Linked DNA regions of Caenorhabditis elegans. The protein of the gene in region 2 interacts with the protein of the main gene of each other region in a biochemical or structural test. Each region holds a gene or a part of one and is shown on either strand. Other genes may lie near its edges.

What was found.
Region 1: the proteins of nlp-58 (region 2) and tkr-2 interact in a test that uses a peptide from one of them, tested with the Caenorhabditis elegans proteins (one large-scale study listed by BioGRID).

The regions. Positions count from the first base shown.
Region 1 is NC_003282.8:6,200,039-6,203,968, reverse strand, and holds the start of tkr-2 (G-protein coupled receptors family 1 profile domain-containing protein), read right to left. Parts: upstream 1,901-3,930; 5' UTR 1,890-1,900; coding exon 1,827-1,889; intron 1,824-1,826; exon of another isoform or gene 1,803-1,823; intron 1,702-1,802; exon of another isoform or gene 1,681-1,701; intron 1,314-1,680; exon of another isoform or gene 1,293-1,313; intron 889-1,292; coding exon 701-888; intron 625-700; exon of another isoform or gene 604-624; intron 552-603; coding exon 420-551; intron 402-419; exon of another isoform or gene 381-401; intron 1-380.
Region 2 is NC_003283.11:9,946,728-9,950,657, forward strand, and holds the start of nlp-58 (Neuropeptide-Like Protein), read right to left. Parts: upstream 2,214-3,930; 5' UTR 2,159-2,213; coding exon 2,072-2,158; intron 112-2,071; coding exon 1-111.

The DNA.
Region 1 (3,930 bases), on a different chromosome or scaffold from region 2:
TTTCTTACAGTTAGCATTAAATCAAAACCTTTTGTTCTAAAATCAATGAGCTCCCAACGAGAAGCCTACATAGCTCATTTGTTCCAATTTCGTTTTTATTTCAAAAGTTATGAACCTTAATTCCACGTCACAATTATTCCGAAAATAATGCTCAAAATTAAACAATACTGGCAGGATTACTGTAGGAGTGTGGCATGTCAGAGAAATCACACATAAATATTCTCAAACTTTCTTCATACGTTATTAGAAATTCTATTAGAAACTGACCATAAAAATTGATTAATCACTTTTAATAGAACAACTTTTTTAGAAACTTCTCAACAACAAAAAAAGTATGTTTCAACGCTACAACTTCAGTTCAACTTTTAGCACGAAGCCAATTTCGTTTCGTTATTCTCTTCTACATTAAAACAACTCACTTCCAAACATAATAATAATTATAAGACCATGAGAATCCCGTGTTGAACACTGAAATCGAGGCATCCGCCACTGCCAAGTTGAACAGATAGTAATTTGTGACGCTTCGCATTTGACGGTGGTACAGGATTATCCTGAGAATTAATTTTAAATCTTTAAAAATTTTTTGAGCAAAAAAAGCGAATATTTCCTAAGTTTAGGTATCCAGTGTCATCACAAGTAATCGTGGAACTTATTAACATGTTGAAACAGACTTTGTCATTTTTCACTTTATTTCACTTACCACATCACTGTAAAATTGCCCATTAACGCCAGAAATATTGTTAGTGTGAACAGGATTCCATAGAAAATCTGTGAAACAATTGGATGAACGAACGGAGTTGGTTCAAATATGAAGTATACTCCGTGTGTTTGATACATTTGATCGTAAAACGATTGGAATGTACAGTTGATCAGTGAACCGTTTAGAACCTGAAATATTGATTAGTTCAGATTTCTAATGAAGCTTATAAGCTGCTCTCAATATAAAATGCCTGCCTTCAAGGCGGCTTACTCATGATTCTTCAAGGCGGCTTACTAAAGTAATTGTTAATATTTTTACAGTTTTACTGAAATGCGGCTGTGAGGGCTCAAGACACCACATTTCGCCATAAAAAGCAAAACGTATGCACCTAGACAGGCATAAGGTAGGTAGGTATACCTTGGAAGTCCTAGGCAATATTAATTTTAAAACAATTTATATTCGTCTGTTGCAGAGTTTTAATTTAATGTGTTAGTTCTCATTATTAGCTGTTCCATCATAAAAACTACAGTTGACAAAATATATTTTCTGTTTCAAAACACTTATAATTATAAATTGATCATCCTGAATCTAATCCCTGATAATTTCCAGGTGCTCCTGATAATTCACAAATTTACTACAAAACGTTTATTTTGAATTTGTGGTGAGTAAGCACAAAAGAACACGGAAATTGGGAAATTGAGTACATTTGAAGTTTTTTGGAATTACAAAAGATAGCAAAAATCTATGTGAAGGAACAACAAAATGGATTATTATAGTGGATTCAAAATTATTTTCTTAAAACTGAAAAGTCTAGATTTCTTATAGGTATGATATAAAGGTAGAAAATCTAAAAGTTTTTGAGAAACTTTTTTTTTTACAATTAAGTTACCTCCCTTAAAATACCAACTAGTACCCAACTAGTAAAAAAATAATATCGGTTCCTCTATTGGCATGAAAATTGTCACATGTCCACACAATACTCTAGAGGTATTTGAGATATGGTTTTTTAAAAATTTCTAATTAACTTAAAAACTCGAATATTTTTCTCAAATTTTCACTGTTTCATTTTCTCGTAAAACTAATTCTCGCTTTGCTGTTTCATTAACAGCCTTCCCTTAAAACTCACTTTATCGGCAGCTAATCGCAGATCCATTTCGTCTAAACTGGGTGGTAGGGGACACGTTGTCATTCTGAAACTTGTAGAATATTTGAAACAGAAATTATTTTTCAAAAGAAGGGAAAGAAAAGGGCATGAGTAATTGTAGTTTTCGAGAGAATGAGACAATGTGTAAGATGAATTAATCAGTCACCATTTCACAGAATTCGCACAAAAAACTTCAGGTGAGAAGTAAACCTCGGTTTTTGAATTCACCTGTTTCACTCTGGCCTTTTCAAAACTCTGATAAATTAGAGAGGAAGGAAAAAAAGTTCAGCTACCTAAAAATTATTCATACAAAAAATGTTCAGTGTGAAAAAACTCAAATTTAAAATAATTTTTTAAAACAATCTTGTTGTTGTTTTTCAAATGCATAAGCCGCTTAAACACAAAGAACAAATTTTATCAATGTCCTGACTCAGATTTATATCAGCTGATAGATAAAATAGGAGGGGAAATACAAAAAATGAAGGATTGCTTGGTTAGAAGAACAAAATTGGCTTGTTGAATATAAGATTAAAACAAGGAAATTTTAAGTTGAAATGTTGAAACTGTGAATAATTTTGACTTTTTTGTTGTTGAAAAATTCGAGAGATTTTCAGGAGTGTAAGGAAATGAAACTTTACTAACAAATAAATAATGTAAATATATAATTGGCGCATCGACTTTTTGAATTGAATTTTTGAAACTGTGAATAATACGCACCACCTATTGGTTGAACACACAAGGGATGAAACATACATTGTAAAATCAGGTACTTTTTTTTATTCTCGAAACGGCGAATAATTGTATTCAGGATGAATTTAATACAAAAATATAAAAATTTTTTTGAAGCATAGATTTGTCTGAAACAATAAACTTACACCAATGTTGATTTGAAAATAAATCAACCTGGGCTTTGGAAAGATGGGACCTCGCACCTTAAAAACCTTGTGGCCGGTAGGGTGCGAAGCGTACAATAGGCGCCCCGTGTTACGCCTTGAATATTTGATACCTCTAAGAAAAACCTTTAATGTTAAAATTTTTGAAATCTAATGAGAATTCTACTGAGAATGGTATAAAAATCTACTTGTACATATGGTAGATAATCCAGTGTCTTCTCAATTATAATCCAAGCCTATCACGAAAACTTGAAACAGTGAAAAAATTATTTGAATGGCCACATCATTAGGGTATAAAATTGAACCGAGAAACAAAAGAGGTGGAAAATGGAGTAAACGCGTCCAGAAAAAAAAGACGACTGGTCATAGAGCTTGGATATAGAGAGAGGAAAATAGTAATTGGATAAGGCAGGTTGCGGAAACTTTCAGACACAAAATAAAGAGAATGAGCAGTAAAAGGAAAAGGAAGATGTGAGGAGGTTAGTGCTCAGAAACAGGAAGAAAATGGGAAGTGTTTTAGAAGCTCAAATTATTATCGGAAGTCACTGGTCATGGTGGTGGTGGACGGAAATTTTCTAGTATTTAAAACACATACCCGACTCAAAATACAAGAAAATGTTAACTTGTACATAAATTTACCAGAAATCTTTTTTTGTTGCAAAATTCACGTAAACCTTAAAAAATGAATTTTCAGTTGCAAGAAATTCCAGGAGGTTGTGCCTTGTTAGTTTTTGAAATCAGCCCCTCCAAATGTCACGTCACAGAAAAATCACCTGGATTCTGGAGAAATATGAGTTCGGAAATGCAAAAAGAAAAGAATGGAAAGGCCACGCGTGAAATTGGTTTTCCAGATATTCACTTTTTCAGATTAGTTTTATAATTTTGAGAAGTTTTGGAGGGGTACTGTATGATCAATAAAAATAGATATATTTGCACAGTTGTCACAGAAGAAACGGGTTACTTTTAAAGTTTTCTGCCAGTTCAATATGTTTTTTTCGAGTAAACGAATATAGTTTTTTTTTCCAATAAAGTTGTTCACAACAAAACATATTAAAAATCAACCCATTCTGGAAAGAGTTTTATAACCAATTTATAAAGAGAAATCGTTCGAACTTCTCGATTAAGTAGCAATTAAATATTCTAAGATTTTTAAAAATATTTTTTATTGATTAAAAAATAATAATTTATATGTT
Region 2 (3,930 bases):
TGGATCCCTCTTTCCGCGTAAACCACGAAGGCCCGGGAATGCGTAAGCTTCACCTTCAGAAGCTGATGATGGTCCACTTCGTTTGTATTGAGAAGGCCAGTATACTTGTGCCTGTAATTTGGATACTATACAGTTTATTACTGCTTCACTAGATTTACTTTTTGACTTTACGCGTGCGCTAAAAGTTTACTATTAAAAGTTGGCAAGGAGAAGAAATGCTAAAAACATCACCTCCGAAGTTAATTTTACTTTGAAAATGTTCAAATAAGTTATGTTATCTGATAAATTTCTGATCCGGAAGTAAAAATGAAATCATTTTTATTCTTATTTGTTGCAATAAGGTTCAGAAGAAAACGTAAATAGGAAAACGTTTTTGTCAAATCATATTTTTAGAGTTTTTTTAATAAAAAGAATCAACAAGTAATGAATTACATTGCATGTAATTTTTCATAATATTGAATTCTTGCTGCATTTTTTCAAAAATTTTCAATTTCCTATATTGACGAAGGTTTTTCTAGACCTCCCTCATTCCCGAAAAAGCTCCAAACCGCCCCCAAATCCTAAAGTGCTTCAAAGCAGAAAAACGAAATTTATACATTTCACAATTGGAGCGTAAACCGGGTTGAAGGAAATTTCCGGTTCCGCTTGTGTGCACCTACAAAAGTCAGTAGCACTTTATCTAATTTTTTGGTCCCTCAGGAGAATATCAAGAAGCAAATACAATAAATAGGAGGAGAATGGAAAATCAAATCTTTCAACTTATTGAATATTATTGAAGGTGGTGTCTGGGAGTATGAATTAAAAAAGTTAGACTTTAAGTTATTATAGAGTCATGAATAATTCATAATTTGATGTTTTCAATGCTTGAATGCAAAATTGAAGTTTTGATAGTTTAGGAAAACATGCAATGAACAATGCAATAAACAAATTACAATGCAATTATACTTATATAGTATTGATAATTGAAATTTTAATTAAACTCTCTCTGCAAACTGGTCCTATATTTTATTTATTTTATTTCAAAGAGGTCAGAAATTCAACTGACGAATTGAAAGAAACCCTTCAAAATAATCACGTTTTATGACTAACAGGATGTTTTTTTCAGACATGTAGACCATTAAGATAAAATAAGGAAATGAAGAAAAAGGAAATTAGGGAAACCCGGCAGTGTGAGACCTTTTTAAACAAAAGAACAAAGAATACTGATAATGTTTGTAATATGTGCTTTATGCCTAGGATGTCGATTTAATTGAACTACAAGGATTGGTTTGATTTTCATAATTTGCACTACATATTTACTTTATAGCCATTAGAAAATAAAATTTCATGGTACTCAATTTTCTGAGAAAAAAACGTTTGAATACACCTAACAAATTGACTGAGCCTGTAAAAATCTGACAAATTGAATTGCAGTTTTATTAAATTATTCACTTGTTATTTTCCAGAATCAGAGTTACAGACATTCTCAAAACAAAAAGAAAAGTTTAGTTAACTATTCGAGTTCTAGTATCTCCTAGGAGACTATTAAGTGAAAAGTTATGAATCACGTAATGTGCAAGCTTGCATTTGAGGTTTTAAATTTGATGAGCATTTTTTATTTAAATTTAACATTTTTGTTTTAATTTTTATGTTTCCACTTTTTGAAAAAAGTCAAATTATATATAAGTTGAATCAATTGAATTTCATATTGTAATGAAATAGGAAATATCTTAATTAGTGATATTTTCAATTTACATACTGCAAAATTTGCTATCATTCAGAAATCTATTTTCTAGCGTTTCTTTTGTGATTTTTTCTTTCAATGTTCCATTGATCACTTTTATATGATCTCTAAAAATATTTTAAGTTATTAGACTTTCCTATGACTACATCGTTCAGCCATCGTCCATCATCGCCCGATTCGTTTCGGATTTGATAAATGCTTTTTCATTTTCAATGTACGCACTTTTTTTTCGAGAATATAAGAAAAAATAGAAAAGATTGAGTGTTTGTCGGCAAGTTTTTTTGCGAATGTTACAGTAAATCCCGAAGGACTTCTCAACTTCTAGGCCAAATCATTCAAATAACTTACATCGTCAAAGTGTGTTTCGAATTGTGCTGTGGTGATGTGTACGAACAATAACAGAAGAAGACCCATCACAGAACATTTGGAGATCATGACGGCAGATGAATGGAAGAAGGCGTCGGAGGAAAAGACGACGTCCACAAAAAGTGAGAAGTAGGAGAAGGAGACTCTATTCTTCATCAACATAGCCCCGCCCACTTTCTGCGAGCAGTTTTTTAGGGGCGAGGCTTAAAAAGGCCAGGAAGAACTTGGGATTACTTGAATGAAGGAGGTGAATGAAAGGCTAAAAGGTTTGATATCATAGCATTAATTATCATTTGTTGTTTCCGATGGGCACACTTCCTAATTTGATCTTTATACTGACGTCAAGGAACATACACAACAGTTACCTTCAAAATTTTTATCTAAGATTTAAGAATAATCTTTGTTTTTATAAAATCTCTTATAGTAGAGCTAAGGAAAATGTGTCTGTCAATGCTTTAAAGTGACCATCACAATTTGAAAAAACTAATATAAAAATGTGATAGTAACTTCTTAGTTATTTGAATTAAGATAATTTAATTGATGAGTTCTCTGAAACGGGCGCGCACTCGACAACACATCGCAACACCTCAACGTACAAGAAATTTCTTAACCAAGTTCAGTCAAATTTCGGCGGTTTTTGAAAGTGAATTTTTGGCCATACCCAACTTTAACCAACTTGGCCTTGATAAGTTGATTGAGAAGTTGCGGCAAACCGACGAGCACTTATGGATGGGGCATCCCCGCGAGAAAAACTATATTTATTTTTGTTTTTTTGAATGCCGATGATCTTTTAAATAATAAAATGTTACTTGGAATAAAAATAAAGGAAATTGGCACAATGATGATATAGAAATCCTGAAGAACTTGAACCGAAAAGAGAAAATGAAATATCTATCCTACTAAACTAAGAAATTACAACGATTTCCATGGTTGATAATAAGTAGTCACGCCATCCTGAATAGGTACCTGTCCTCTGCTTACCTGCTTGACTACCTTCGTATTTTCCGTATTTGATTGCGCTTTAGTGCTTTGGCAGTAGGTACTCGTAGGCACGAGGCAGGCACTAGAGTAGTAAGCAGGAAGGCAATGATGTGCCAACCTAAATTTTTTTACCACCGTACACCATTTTCAGACAGGAATTCAAAATTATTTAGTTCTCGTTCTGTTTTCATGGGTTTTATTTCCCTTTTTCGTTTGTTTTTTCTAAGGATTTGAATTTTTCCAATGTGTCTTAGCGAGCACTTAAAATTTTGAGAATGATTTGAGCACAGTGGTTGTTGATTGATTGCTTAATCCTTCGTATTCATTTTATTGTCTATGAATGAAAGTTGGTGTGTTTTCGGAATAGTTGAATTTTAGCTCACCTAGGTTTCATATTTGAAATTTGACATTTTTTGAAAGCTAAACACTGGAACCAGACTAAAAGGTTCAACGACCATAAATCTTTTTGCACTTTTAAAAAGGTATAAATGTTTTCATTTCCTGTCCTCACGTCATCTAGACTGCTGAACAAAAATATTTAGTTATCTTCATTTCTTGAAATTTATTTAAAATCCGGAAATTATTGAAAAGTTTTTTCGGAGACCTTGTAATTTTCAAGATGTTTGACAAATCTTTAGACAATATAAAGTTAGACTCACTTCCCCCGAAACATTAAAATTATGAGCAACTTTTAGAATTGGCTCAATTTTTGTTAATTCAGCAGTCCCAACGAATAACTGAAATTTTATGAGCCGTAATGTTCAGTGTGAAATTTGAAGAATTTATTTTATAAGAATCAAACCCTGCATTTCCATAGACCAATACAGAGAGAATGATATCATTACTAATAACGAAGCCAA